3 linked regions of the Ovis aries genome follow. The protein of the gene in region 2 purifies or fractionates together with the protein of the main gene of each other region. This does not show direct contact. Links are inferred from orthologs where the notes say so. Each region holds a gene or a part of one and is shown on either strand. Other genes may lie near its edges.

Region 1 (3,656 bases), on a different chromosome or scaffold from region 2:
ATTTCATGGCTGCAGTCACCATCTGCAGTGATTTTGGAGCCCCAAAAATAAAGTCTCTGACTGTTGCCATTGTTTCCTCATCTATTTACCATGAAGTGATGGGACCAGATACCATGATCTTAGTTTTTTGAATGTTGAGTTTTAAGCCAGCTTTTTCACTCTCCTCTTTCACTTTCATCAAGAACCTCTTTAGTTCCTCTTCACTTTCTACCAAAAGGGTGGTGTCACCTGCATATCCGAGGTTATTATTGTCCATGATCTTAAAAAAGATAATATTCTAAAATGGAAATACTAAAATAGAAAATAAAATGGAAATACTAACATAGAGATAAATAAAACACAAATAAGCTGATGTACAGTAGTTATAAGAAGTGCTCAGTGAGTGGTGGAGTCACTATTGTGGAATGCCAGAAGCAGCAGCCATTGCCGGTTGAAGATGGCTTCATAGAACCGGGATGAGTAATACGTGATGGAGGAAATGGTGTCTAAAGGAAAATTTAGGTAGAGAGATGGCACAACAACTAGAATAGCACATGCCATGAAGGGGCAGTTACTGATTAAGTACAGTTGTCATGTCTCCTACGTGCCAGGTATGTGGGAGGCATTGGCCCTGGGCAGACCACTTGACTGAAGCAATGGATCTGAACGCAGGAACAGTGGAAAGATTAAGGAAGGATGTTTCAGGGTTACATTATGAAGCCCAACTAAGCAGTCTGACTCCAGGACAATTAATTCTAAGATGCAGGAAGGACCGGTGGAAGTGAGGACATAAATCAGGAAGTTACGATAACTTAGCAAAACCAATTATCCTCAAATATGCCTTGCTTTTCTAACTTAACACTTTTTATTTATAGTAAGACTTAGACATAGGCAATAACACGTCTAAACTAGGAAGAGGGGAAGAGACCGTGTTTATGTTCAATTTATTCAGGAACTGTCAAACTCTTTTCAAATTGGCTCTACTATTTTGTAGTCCCACCAGCAATGTCTGAGGGTTCCAATTTCTCCACATTGCTGCCAACTCTTGTTATTATCCATTTTTAAAATTATAGCCATCCCAGTGGGTATGAATTGGTATGTCTTTGTGGTTTTGCATTCCCTTAATGGCTAATGATGTTGACTAATGACCTTTTCATGTGTTTTTTTCCAAATATTTTAGAACACTTTTCCTTTCATTTATTCTATCTATATTAGGAAAATTTTTCCGTGTTATCAAATATTCTACAAAAATGAGATTTAAAAATGTAAATAGTAGGTTTAATAACCATAGAGTAAATTCCGCTATAACCTCAGTCCTGTTCACTAACCATTTCTTAATACTCAGTATGTATCACCCCAAACCATGCTCCCTAGGTATGGCTTTATGAGGTTTAAGAAAACTTAATTTGACTACAGTTGTCCAAGGGCTGCATCAAGTACATGCATCTACTTATCCCCCAAGTCTCACTAAAAGGAAAGAAGTATACAAGGCATAAAGTCATAATAGTGCTGAGAAAGGGAAAGGGGGCACTCTAAAAATAAAATCTAAGAGGAAAGGCCTTCCAAGTCTGAACCAAAATTCAAAAGTTGAAAAAAAAGACTGATAAATCTCACAATATAAAAATCAACTTCTGTGTGGCATAAAAACCATAAACAAAGTCAAAAGACAAATGACAAACTGGGAAATAATATCTATAAATCACATAACAGAAAAGAGACAATTTCTCACATACTCAAAGATCTTCTACAAGTCATAAGGCTAGTAATTCAATAAAAATGGCTAGTAATTCAATAAAAAGATATTAATAAATCATAGTGAAGAAAATAAGAATTATTCAAGTGTATGTCAAGATACTCAACCTTACTCAGAATAGGAGAAAAAGAAAACTACAATGGGATATTAATTTTCACTTATCAGATAAGCAAAGATTAAAAGCTTGATAACCCAGAATTGAGGGTATGGGTAACAAGCCATCCCATAGATGGATAGTGGGGCTGTAAATAGGTACAACCTGTATGGGAAATAAATTTGCAATATATATTAAAAATGTAAATGCATATACCTTTGGATCTAGCAATTCTAAGATTTTTCATATAGGCTTATTTTCACATGTACAAAATTGTGCCTGAACCAGGTTATAAAATGCCACACTGTGTATAATAGCAAAAGGCTGAAAACAACCTGAATGTTCTGCCTAAATAATTTATGGTTTATCCATATAATGGAATAAAATGCAACTATACCATGCAAAGGATGAGGAAGCTTATTATATACTGATATGGAATAACCTCTCAAGATCAAGTGAAAAAAGCAAAGTGCAGAGCAGTATTTATGATCTTATATCATTTGGATTAAAAAAAAAAAGATGAGTATTTTCTTGTGTAAGCATGTAATATCTCTGGAAGGAAAGAAAGTAATAACTCTGCCTCTGTGGAAGGGAAGAGCTATCTTGAGAAAGAGTTTTATTTTTGTACTTTTGGAATTTTGAGCCAAGCATATGTATTACTTACACAAGAAATAAAAAGCTTAAGTGAAAGGAAATAAAATTAAAGATACAGTTGATTAAAGCCAGGAGGGAAAGTGAAAGTACAGTCCATGGAATTCTCCAGGCTAGAGGGGGCAAAAGAGGAAGTAGATTTCTTTCTTTTGCTCTGACACACAGATTTCGCTATTTCACTTAGACTGGAATCAAGAGGTACACCGGCCGAGCGCTGATGTGGCCACCGGAAAGAATAAAAACAGAAAAGAGCTGAATGAGATTTCGTCAGGGGTAGTGGGTATTGAGGCTTTTATTTTTCATTAATACTATTCTCTAGACCTTCTACCTTGAGATTTTTCTCTAAGTAAGGAAAGTTTTATATACATATATAACTACACACACACCTGACCTGAAATGATGACTTCAGATGGCCATGATTTCTTACAGTCTTTCTTTTAGGACAACCACATTATCTTTCTTCTGTGACAACCAAACCAACTATGGAAACAGGTCTGGTTTTAATCTTAATAAATAAAGGAGGAAAGTAAGCTTTTGTCAGAATGTGTATTTCTTTCCTTACTGAAACATTGTAGTTCCTGCTGAGGATCTCGGTCCACTCTCCCTTCTGGGCTGGGTCAGCATTTCCAAAGATGGCAATGTGCTCTGGTCTGGGACTTCCATGAAGAGCCTGATAAATCTCCTGCTGCAAGTGGCTGCAGTCCACCCTTTTCAGCCTAAAATCAAACACCTCGGAGTCTGGAGTCCAGTGCTAACATCATAATGTAATTCATTCAAACATTAGAAATAATACCAAAAAATAAACTGTGGGAAATAATCCTTCATAGGTATAAAAGACTCAAAAAAAAAAAAAAAAAAAAAACACCTCTTAGCAACATTAATATTATTTAAAGACTATTCCTAACATTCTCTGAACTCTAATTCAAAATATAAAAGTTGCCACATCACATATTCCCTACAGGTAGAGACAAATTTGCTAGAAATGATGTGGAAGCAAAGAATTACCTGAGCTTGCATCCAGATATTGCATTCACTCCAAATTGTACTTCGTGTCTCTTAACAGAGCAAGTGCCATCACCCTGGCTCTGTAAGAGGGTCATCTGAGGTGGAAAGGGATGGTCAAGGAGATCATAAAAGAAAAAGTAGGCTGATTGGAAAATGTATGCTTCTTAATATTTG
Region 2 (2,576 bases):
TGGGCCCAGACTCCTGCAACTTCCCATACATAGAAAAGTGCAAAATCCCTTCACTTGGGATATCTGGTTTTAATTAACAATAATCTTTTGATGCTCAAACTACTTGCCCTTTGTTGCAAAACTTCTATATAACGTGACTCCTCTCCTCACCTCCTCAGAGCAATTCTCTCAGGATCATTTGAGACGGTGTCTCCCGGGCTCGAAGTCCTAAAAATTCCCACCAAATAAAACATAACTCCCAACTTTGAGGTTATGAATATATTTTAAGGCAATAGACTTTAATGCATTTCTAATCCTTTCTTTGGAATAGTGGAAACTTATCATTGCAACAGAAATACATAAAAAATTCAAAGACTGACTCTCTATGGTAGGAATAACATTTGGACCAAAACTCCTATGACTTTCATAATCTGTGATGAAACTTATCTATAATAAGTTCCTAATTACACTTATTGACACAGTTGACCCTCTCATGCATTTTGCTCACTCTGGTGCATCGGTGAGAACACCCACTCTGAATTGCTTTGAACGTCTGGATAGCTACATATGTGAATTTAATTTGTGGAGCATTTAATAAAATTTTCTATAAAAATAAAATATTTCATTTATTAAGATTTTACAGAGAGGCACACAGGAGGACAACAAATCCCTGACGTAGAAGCTGATGATCTGTAAGAAGTCAGACGGTAGTTGAATTCTAAGCTTTGTGTATTCTGATCCAGGGGTTACTGAGGAATACAGCTAATACGATGAAAGATACCAGTAGTAAGCTCTTGGCAACACACTGAGAGTAAGGCTCTCCTGCAAGACAATGAATCAAACTAAGCAACTTTTTTTTTTTGTCATTTTCATCATCATTATTTTATTTTTTAAAACTTTTTATTTTGTATTGGGGTACAGCCTATTAATAATGTTGTGATAGTTTCAGATGAATTGCAAAGGGACTCAGCTATACATACATACATACATGTATATATACATCTATAGATGTATCCATTCTCCCCTAAACTCCCCTCCCATCCAGGCTACTACATGACATTGAGCAGCGTTCTCTGTGCTGTACAGTAGGACCTTGTTGGTTATCCATTTTAAATACAGCAGTGTAAGCAACATTTTTTTGGTCTTGTGAGCATTCTTGGCTGAGCCATACAGCCTATGGGATCTTAGTTCCTTGATCAGGGATCCAGAGATCAAACCCATGCCCTCTACAGTGAATGCACAGAGTCTTAACCCCTGGACCACCAAGGAATATCCAGGAATGTTGTTATTTCTTAACTTTTTGGGTAACTAGGTAGAAATAAGCCAAAACATAAAGAGTGATCATTTCTAAATGGCAACATCAGTACATGTTTTCTTTTTAAAACTTTGCTATATGTTTTAACTTTCCTGTGACATTTATACTTTTTTCAAAAGTTTTTTAATTAACGTAACATAATGATAAACATTTCAGAAAAGGGCTTTACCTACCTCGATAATATTGGGTCAGTGGATACAGAAGTTGTGGCCAACAAACCTCATTTCTGTTACAGTCGTACTCTGTAAAATTGATCTGGAATCTACAGAACATTTTAGAAGGTTATAATAGCTATAACAAAACATGCTTTTGATGAGTTGCATCAAAACCTCATTAAAGGGCTTCCCTGGTGGCTCCAGTGGTAAAGAATCCATCTGTCAATGCAGGAGACGTGGGTTCAACTTCTCACCAGGGAAAGTCCCACGTGCCATGGAACAGCTAAGCCCGTGTGCCACAGCTCCTGAGCCCATGCTCTAGAGCCCGAGAACCGCAGCTACTGAGCCCACGTGCCTAGAGCCTGTGCTCTGTGACAAGAGAAGTCACTGCAATGAGACGCCCGCAAACCAAGACTGCAGAATAGGCCCTGCTCTCGGCAACTAAAAACAGTCCCCAGGGGCAGCAGTGAAGACCCAGCACAGCCAAAAACAAATAAAGAAAGCTATTTTTAAAACCTCATCTAAAACTTGATTAAAGAAGTGAAGCGTTTGTTTGTTTTCTACTTATTCAGCAGCACTACGTGGCATGTGGGATCTTACTCCCCCCACCAGGGATCAAACTCATGCCCCCTGCAGTGGAAGCAGGGAGTATCAACCACTGGATGGCCAGGGAGGTCCCTAAACTTCTTAGTTTTGAACATATATTTTTCTGCTTCCTGATCATGTCACTGAGGTCAGCAAACAGATTACCTTGTAAGGGGACGGGGTAACTGTGCGGGTATCTTAATAAACTGGACCGATGCGCCGATGGGGAAGAGGTCAGCCTTGTCCTCACAAGTCAGTCCACACTGGAACTGCCAGGTCACGGAGGAGAACCTGGGAGGGAAAGGTCACGCAGGCGACAAAGCCCTCGCTCACTTCTGGTCTGCTAAGAACACTGGGTAACTGACACAACAACAACGTGAGCTGGGCTTCTCCTACACACGATTCACGTTTTCCTGGTGCTGCCTTTCCCCCTTTGTAGTGTGTAAATTTTCAAATGCACATACAAGCTGAGACAGCTGTATAATGAACCCTTGTGGACCTATCATAGGCTGCAACAACTACCAGCATTTTACCAGTTCTGC
Region 3 (4,304 bases), on a different chromosome or scaffold from region 2:
TGGCATCACCGACTCAATGGACATGAGTTTGGGTAGACTCCGGGAGTTGGTGATGGACAGGCAGGCCTGGCGTGCTGCGGTTCATGGGGTCGCAAAGAGTCGGACATGACTGAGCAACTGAACTGAACTGAAATCCTATTCATAACTCTGATTATTTTTCCCTTCTACTTTTCTAGAGTTGACAATTATTTTATTTGCTTGCTTAGTTTTCTATGTATTTTTGCAATGTCAACAAACAGCTTCTATTCCAGTTCCTCACAATTTGATGTTTAAAGGTGTATGATTTAGTAAAAATCTTGTTCACTGCAATATTCTAATAGTGAAAAAGTAAAAACAAAAAATCCACCAACAGGAAACTGGTAAATCAATTACAGGTTTCCATATCATGAAATATTTGGCTGTTTAGTCACCAAGTTGTGTCTGGTTCTTCTGTAACCACATGTAGTATATAGCCCACGAGGCTTCTCTGGCCATGGGATTTCCCAGGAAAGAACACTGGACTGGGTTGCTATTTCCTTCTCCAGGGGATCTTCCTGACTCCCAGAGATCAAACCCATGTCTCCTGCATTGGCAGGCGGACTCTTTACCACTGATCCATCAGGGAAGTCCCTAGCAGATCTTAAAATGAAGGTTAATTATAACAAGTCTAGATACATGTACCAAACTGAGCCTTTAATTTCATATGGTTTTTCCAGTAGTCATGTATGGATGTGAGAGTTGGACTGTGAAGAAGGCTGAGTGCCGAAGAATTGATGCTTTTGAACTGTAGTTTTGGAGAAGACTCTTGAGGGTCCCTTGGACTGCAAGGAGATCCAACCAGTCCATCCTGAGGGAGATCAGCCCTGGGATTTCTTTGGAGGGAATGATGCTGAAGCTGAAACTCCAGTACTTTGGCCACCTCATGTGAAGAGTTGACTCATTGGAAAAGACTTTGATACTGGGAGGGATTGGGGGCAGGAGAAGAAGGGGACGACCGAGGATGAGATGGCTGGATGGCATCACAGACTCAATGGACGTGAGTCTGAGTGAACTCTGGGAGTTGGTGATGGACAGGGAGGCCTGGCGTGCTGCGATGCATGGGGTCGCAAAGAGTTGGACATGACTGAGTGACTGAACTGAACTGAACTGAACTGATATGTACCTGTAACTCTATTTTCAATGAGCAGGCATTTTTATAATTATAAACAAATTAAAGTAATCATAAAAAGTAATCATAACCATATTTTGTTGGTGGTTATTCATTTATGGCCAATTACATTAAAAATTTTTTTTCCATTTTATTCAGTTACTGGGATAAAAGTCTGAAATTATTTTTTTTCAGCTACACAAATTGGAATGTAGGCCAATCATCTCAGATATCTAAAGAGATTCAACTTTGGAAGAAGGAAATCCAGAGTTTTCCTACTTCCAAAGGAAAATGCTTTCAGAAAGTGAGTTTAAAGGGGTGACTGTAAAGGAAGCACTCACTTAACTTGAACCAGATACTACAGGACAGGCAGTAAAATGCTTCATTTCAGCCCCAGGAAGCAGCAGCAGGACTGAGCGGCACCTGAAGAGGTGAGCCCAGGGAGGCGGGCCTGGCCAGCAGGACATTCTGGAGGTCAGCTAACCAATCAGCCCGTTGGCTTCGCCGTGACAGTCCGCCTAAAACTGCCTGCCCTTTCTTTGCGGGCAGTGGGCGCACGGACAACGGAGCGGCACAACGGGGTGATTGACCGGAACAGAGGATGAGATGGTTGGATGGCGTCACTGACTCAATGCACAGGAGTTTGAGCAAACTCGGGGAGATGGTGAAGGACAGGGAAGCCTTGCGTGCTGCAGTTTACGGGCTCGCAGAGTGGGGCTTCCCTCAGAGCTCAGTTGGTAAAGAATCTGCCTGCAATGCCAGAGACCTGGGTTTGATTCCTGGGTCGGGAAGATCCCTTGAAGGAGGGCATGACAACCGCCTCCAGTATTCTTGCTGGGAGAATCTCACGGACAGAGAAGCCTGGTTGGCCACAGTCCATGGGGTCGCAAGGGTCAGACACGACTTAGCGACTAAACCACCACCACCACCATAGAGTCGGACACGACTTAGGGAATGAACAACAACGCAACTCACACAGCAAACTCTGCGACCACCATTCCCTCAGGAAGGGCCAGGCCGAAATGTCAGGAATTGTCAGGGGTTGGAGACTCTGCAGAGAGCAGAGACACTGACAGTAGCAGCCAGCTTACCCGGGGTGGGGGACGGCTTGGAGAAGCCGAATGTACCAACAAACAGGCCTCCAGGAAAGGAAACAAGCTCGGGTCTGGGGTTCGTGACTCCTTCAGCCGCACACCGAGTTCCCCGGGACAGGGGCCGGAGCCTCCCGTCAGGCCGCGCCCTCCGCCCATCCCCTCCGCAGCCCAGTCTGCGCAGCCGGGCCCAGGCGGGAAGCACTCACCGAGACAAGCGGGACGCGCAGATGACCCTCCTGCAGCCGGTTGAAGGCGGGGAACGTGCTCCAGGCGAGGAACCCGCCCGGCTCGGATCCTAGCAAGGCCACGAGCAGCACCTGGTGCTGGAAGCGCACGGTTGGCTGCTCCTCGTAACTGCTCCGTTTTAGCCAAAACCCTGAGGTAACGAGAGTGCGGGGTGCAGAGACCCGGGTCAGGGAGGCGGCGCGGGAGCCACGTAGCGCTGCGGGGCGCGCACCGGCCGGGGCGAGGGGGCAGACTCACCGTGGCTCCGGAAGGCCACCAGCAGCGGCGGGATGTACGTGAGCGCGGCGGCCAACAGCAGGAAGAGCGCCGCCTTGGAGCAGAGCCCGGCACGGTAGCCCCGCTCCACTGGATGCGCGTAGAGCTCATAGAGCGCCATGAGGAGCACTCGGGGTCTTGTTCCCTCGGCAGTTCCGGAGCCTCGACCTAGTATGGCTTCTCCTGGTTGCCATAGCCGTGGTCTCCACGGCAACCGACGGCCCAGGGAGAGCGACCAATAGCGAGCAGGCGGGCTTTCCGTGGGGGCGTGGCCAACGGGGCGGGGCCCGCAAGTACACTGTGGTCGCACACTGCTTGCGCGTTCCCAAAGGGTGTTTCCGTGCGCCCAAACCGTGGCCGTTGTTAACAATTTTGTAAAATAAGGTTTTTTCATAAATGTTGACTATTTATTAATAGTCAAATCTATTAATCCCCAATGTGGTTTATTGTACACTTAAGTCTAACCAATCACAGCACACCGTACGTTGGAGGCAAACAAAAAAAAGTGGCCGTGGTCCTAGACACTTGGTCCTGGGTTAAGACCAAACCAGGTCCCTTTGTTTCCAAATTTTCTATCGCTTTCACTATACTCCATAGCAGGGCAGACACGGAAACAGACCTATCTCCCTGCTGTTCGAGGGGAAAAAAAAAGATAATTATTGTATAGCTCTGCTATACTTTGCTATCTTGATTGGGAACAAGCTTTATGCTACTTATTTTAGGAGAAGCCGTGGTCCTCCTCAAAGATAAAGTTACACAGGGAAGCCTGGCGTGCTGCAGTCCATGGGGTCGCAAAGAGTCGGACACAACTGAGCGACTGAACTGAACACTTAATTGAATGCTTCCACCGTCCCATCCCATCTGCTTTCTAGTATTTCAAACATGGCAGAAGAAATTTTTTTTTTTTAAGTAGTCAATAGCCAAGTTCTCCATCAAAAGGCCCTAAAGGATCACATTGCAGTGCCGAGTTAGTGTGAAGTTTGTGCTCAGAATGAGATCCACTCATAAATACTCCTATTTTGAAGGCAACCTAGAAGTGGGGTTTTCTCCTAGATTTATTGAGGTATAATTGACATATAGCACTGTATAAGTTTAAGGTGTACAACATAATGATTTGAGTTACATGCATCATGAAATGATTACCACAATAAATTTGTTGAACATCTCTCATCTCATATAGATTACAAATTAAGGAAATAGAAAAAAATTTTCCCCTGTGATGACAACTCTTAGCATTTACTCTTTCATCTACAAAATAAAGTAGTGTTAATTATATTTATCATGTTGTACATTACCTCCCTAGTACTCATTTATCTTATAACTGGAAGTTTGTATCTTCTGACTGACTTCATCCAACTTTCCCCTCCCTCCACCTTGCCTCGGGTAATCACAAACCTGATCTCTTTTTAATGAGTTCGTTTTTGAAGTATAATTGACCACAACATTAGGTTAGTTCCTGTTATACAATATAGTGATTCAGTATTTCTATACATTTCAAAATGATTACCATGATAAGTTTAGTTATTATAACCTAGAATTGGGTTTTCGATGAAGAGAACAGCTGAGATCCTAGCAAAGAAGAG

The links.
Region 1: the proteins of TCTN2 (region 2) and TCTN3 purify together in Homo sapiens (affinity purification with mass spectrometry; 3 studies listed by BioGRID and IntAct, with this or other methods). This does not show direct contact. The link is inferred for Ovis aries from reciprocal best matches to the Homo sapiens genes TCTN2 and TCTN3.
Region 3: the proteins of TCTN2 (region 2) and TMEM231 purify together in Homo sapiens (affinity purification with mass spectrometry; 3 studies listed by BioGRID and IntAct, counting the BioPlex papers as one, with this or other methods). This does not show direct contact. The link is inferred for Ovis aries from reciprocal best matches to the Homo sapiens genes TCTN2 and TMEM231.

Annotation. Positions count from the first base shown.
Region 1 is NC_056075.1:16,989,506-16,993,161, forward strand, and holds part of TCTN3 (tectonic-3), read right to left. Parts: intron 3,578-3,656; coding exon 3,483-3,577; intron 3,194-3,482; coding exon 3,040-3,193; intron 1-3,039.
Region 2 is NC_056070.1:52,039,892-52,042,467, forward strand, and holds the end of TCTN2 (tectonic-2), read right to left. Parts: intron 2,326-2,576; coding exon 2,200-2,325; intron 1,557-2,199; coding exon 1,468-1,556; intron 802-1,467; coding exon 698-801; 3' UTR 580-697; downstream 1-579.
Region 3 is NC_056067.1:2,346,128-2,350,431, forward strand, and holds the start of TMEM231 (transmembrane protein 231), read right to left. Parts: upstream 2,929-4,304; 5' UTR 2,843-2,928; coding exon 2,704-2,842; intron 2,597-2,703; coding exon 2,427-2,596; intron 1-2,426. UniProt on the Homo sapiens protein: Transmembrane component of the tectonic-like complex, a complex localized at the transition zone of primary cilia and acting as a barrier that prevents diffusion of transmembrane proteins between the cilia and plasma membranes.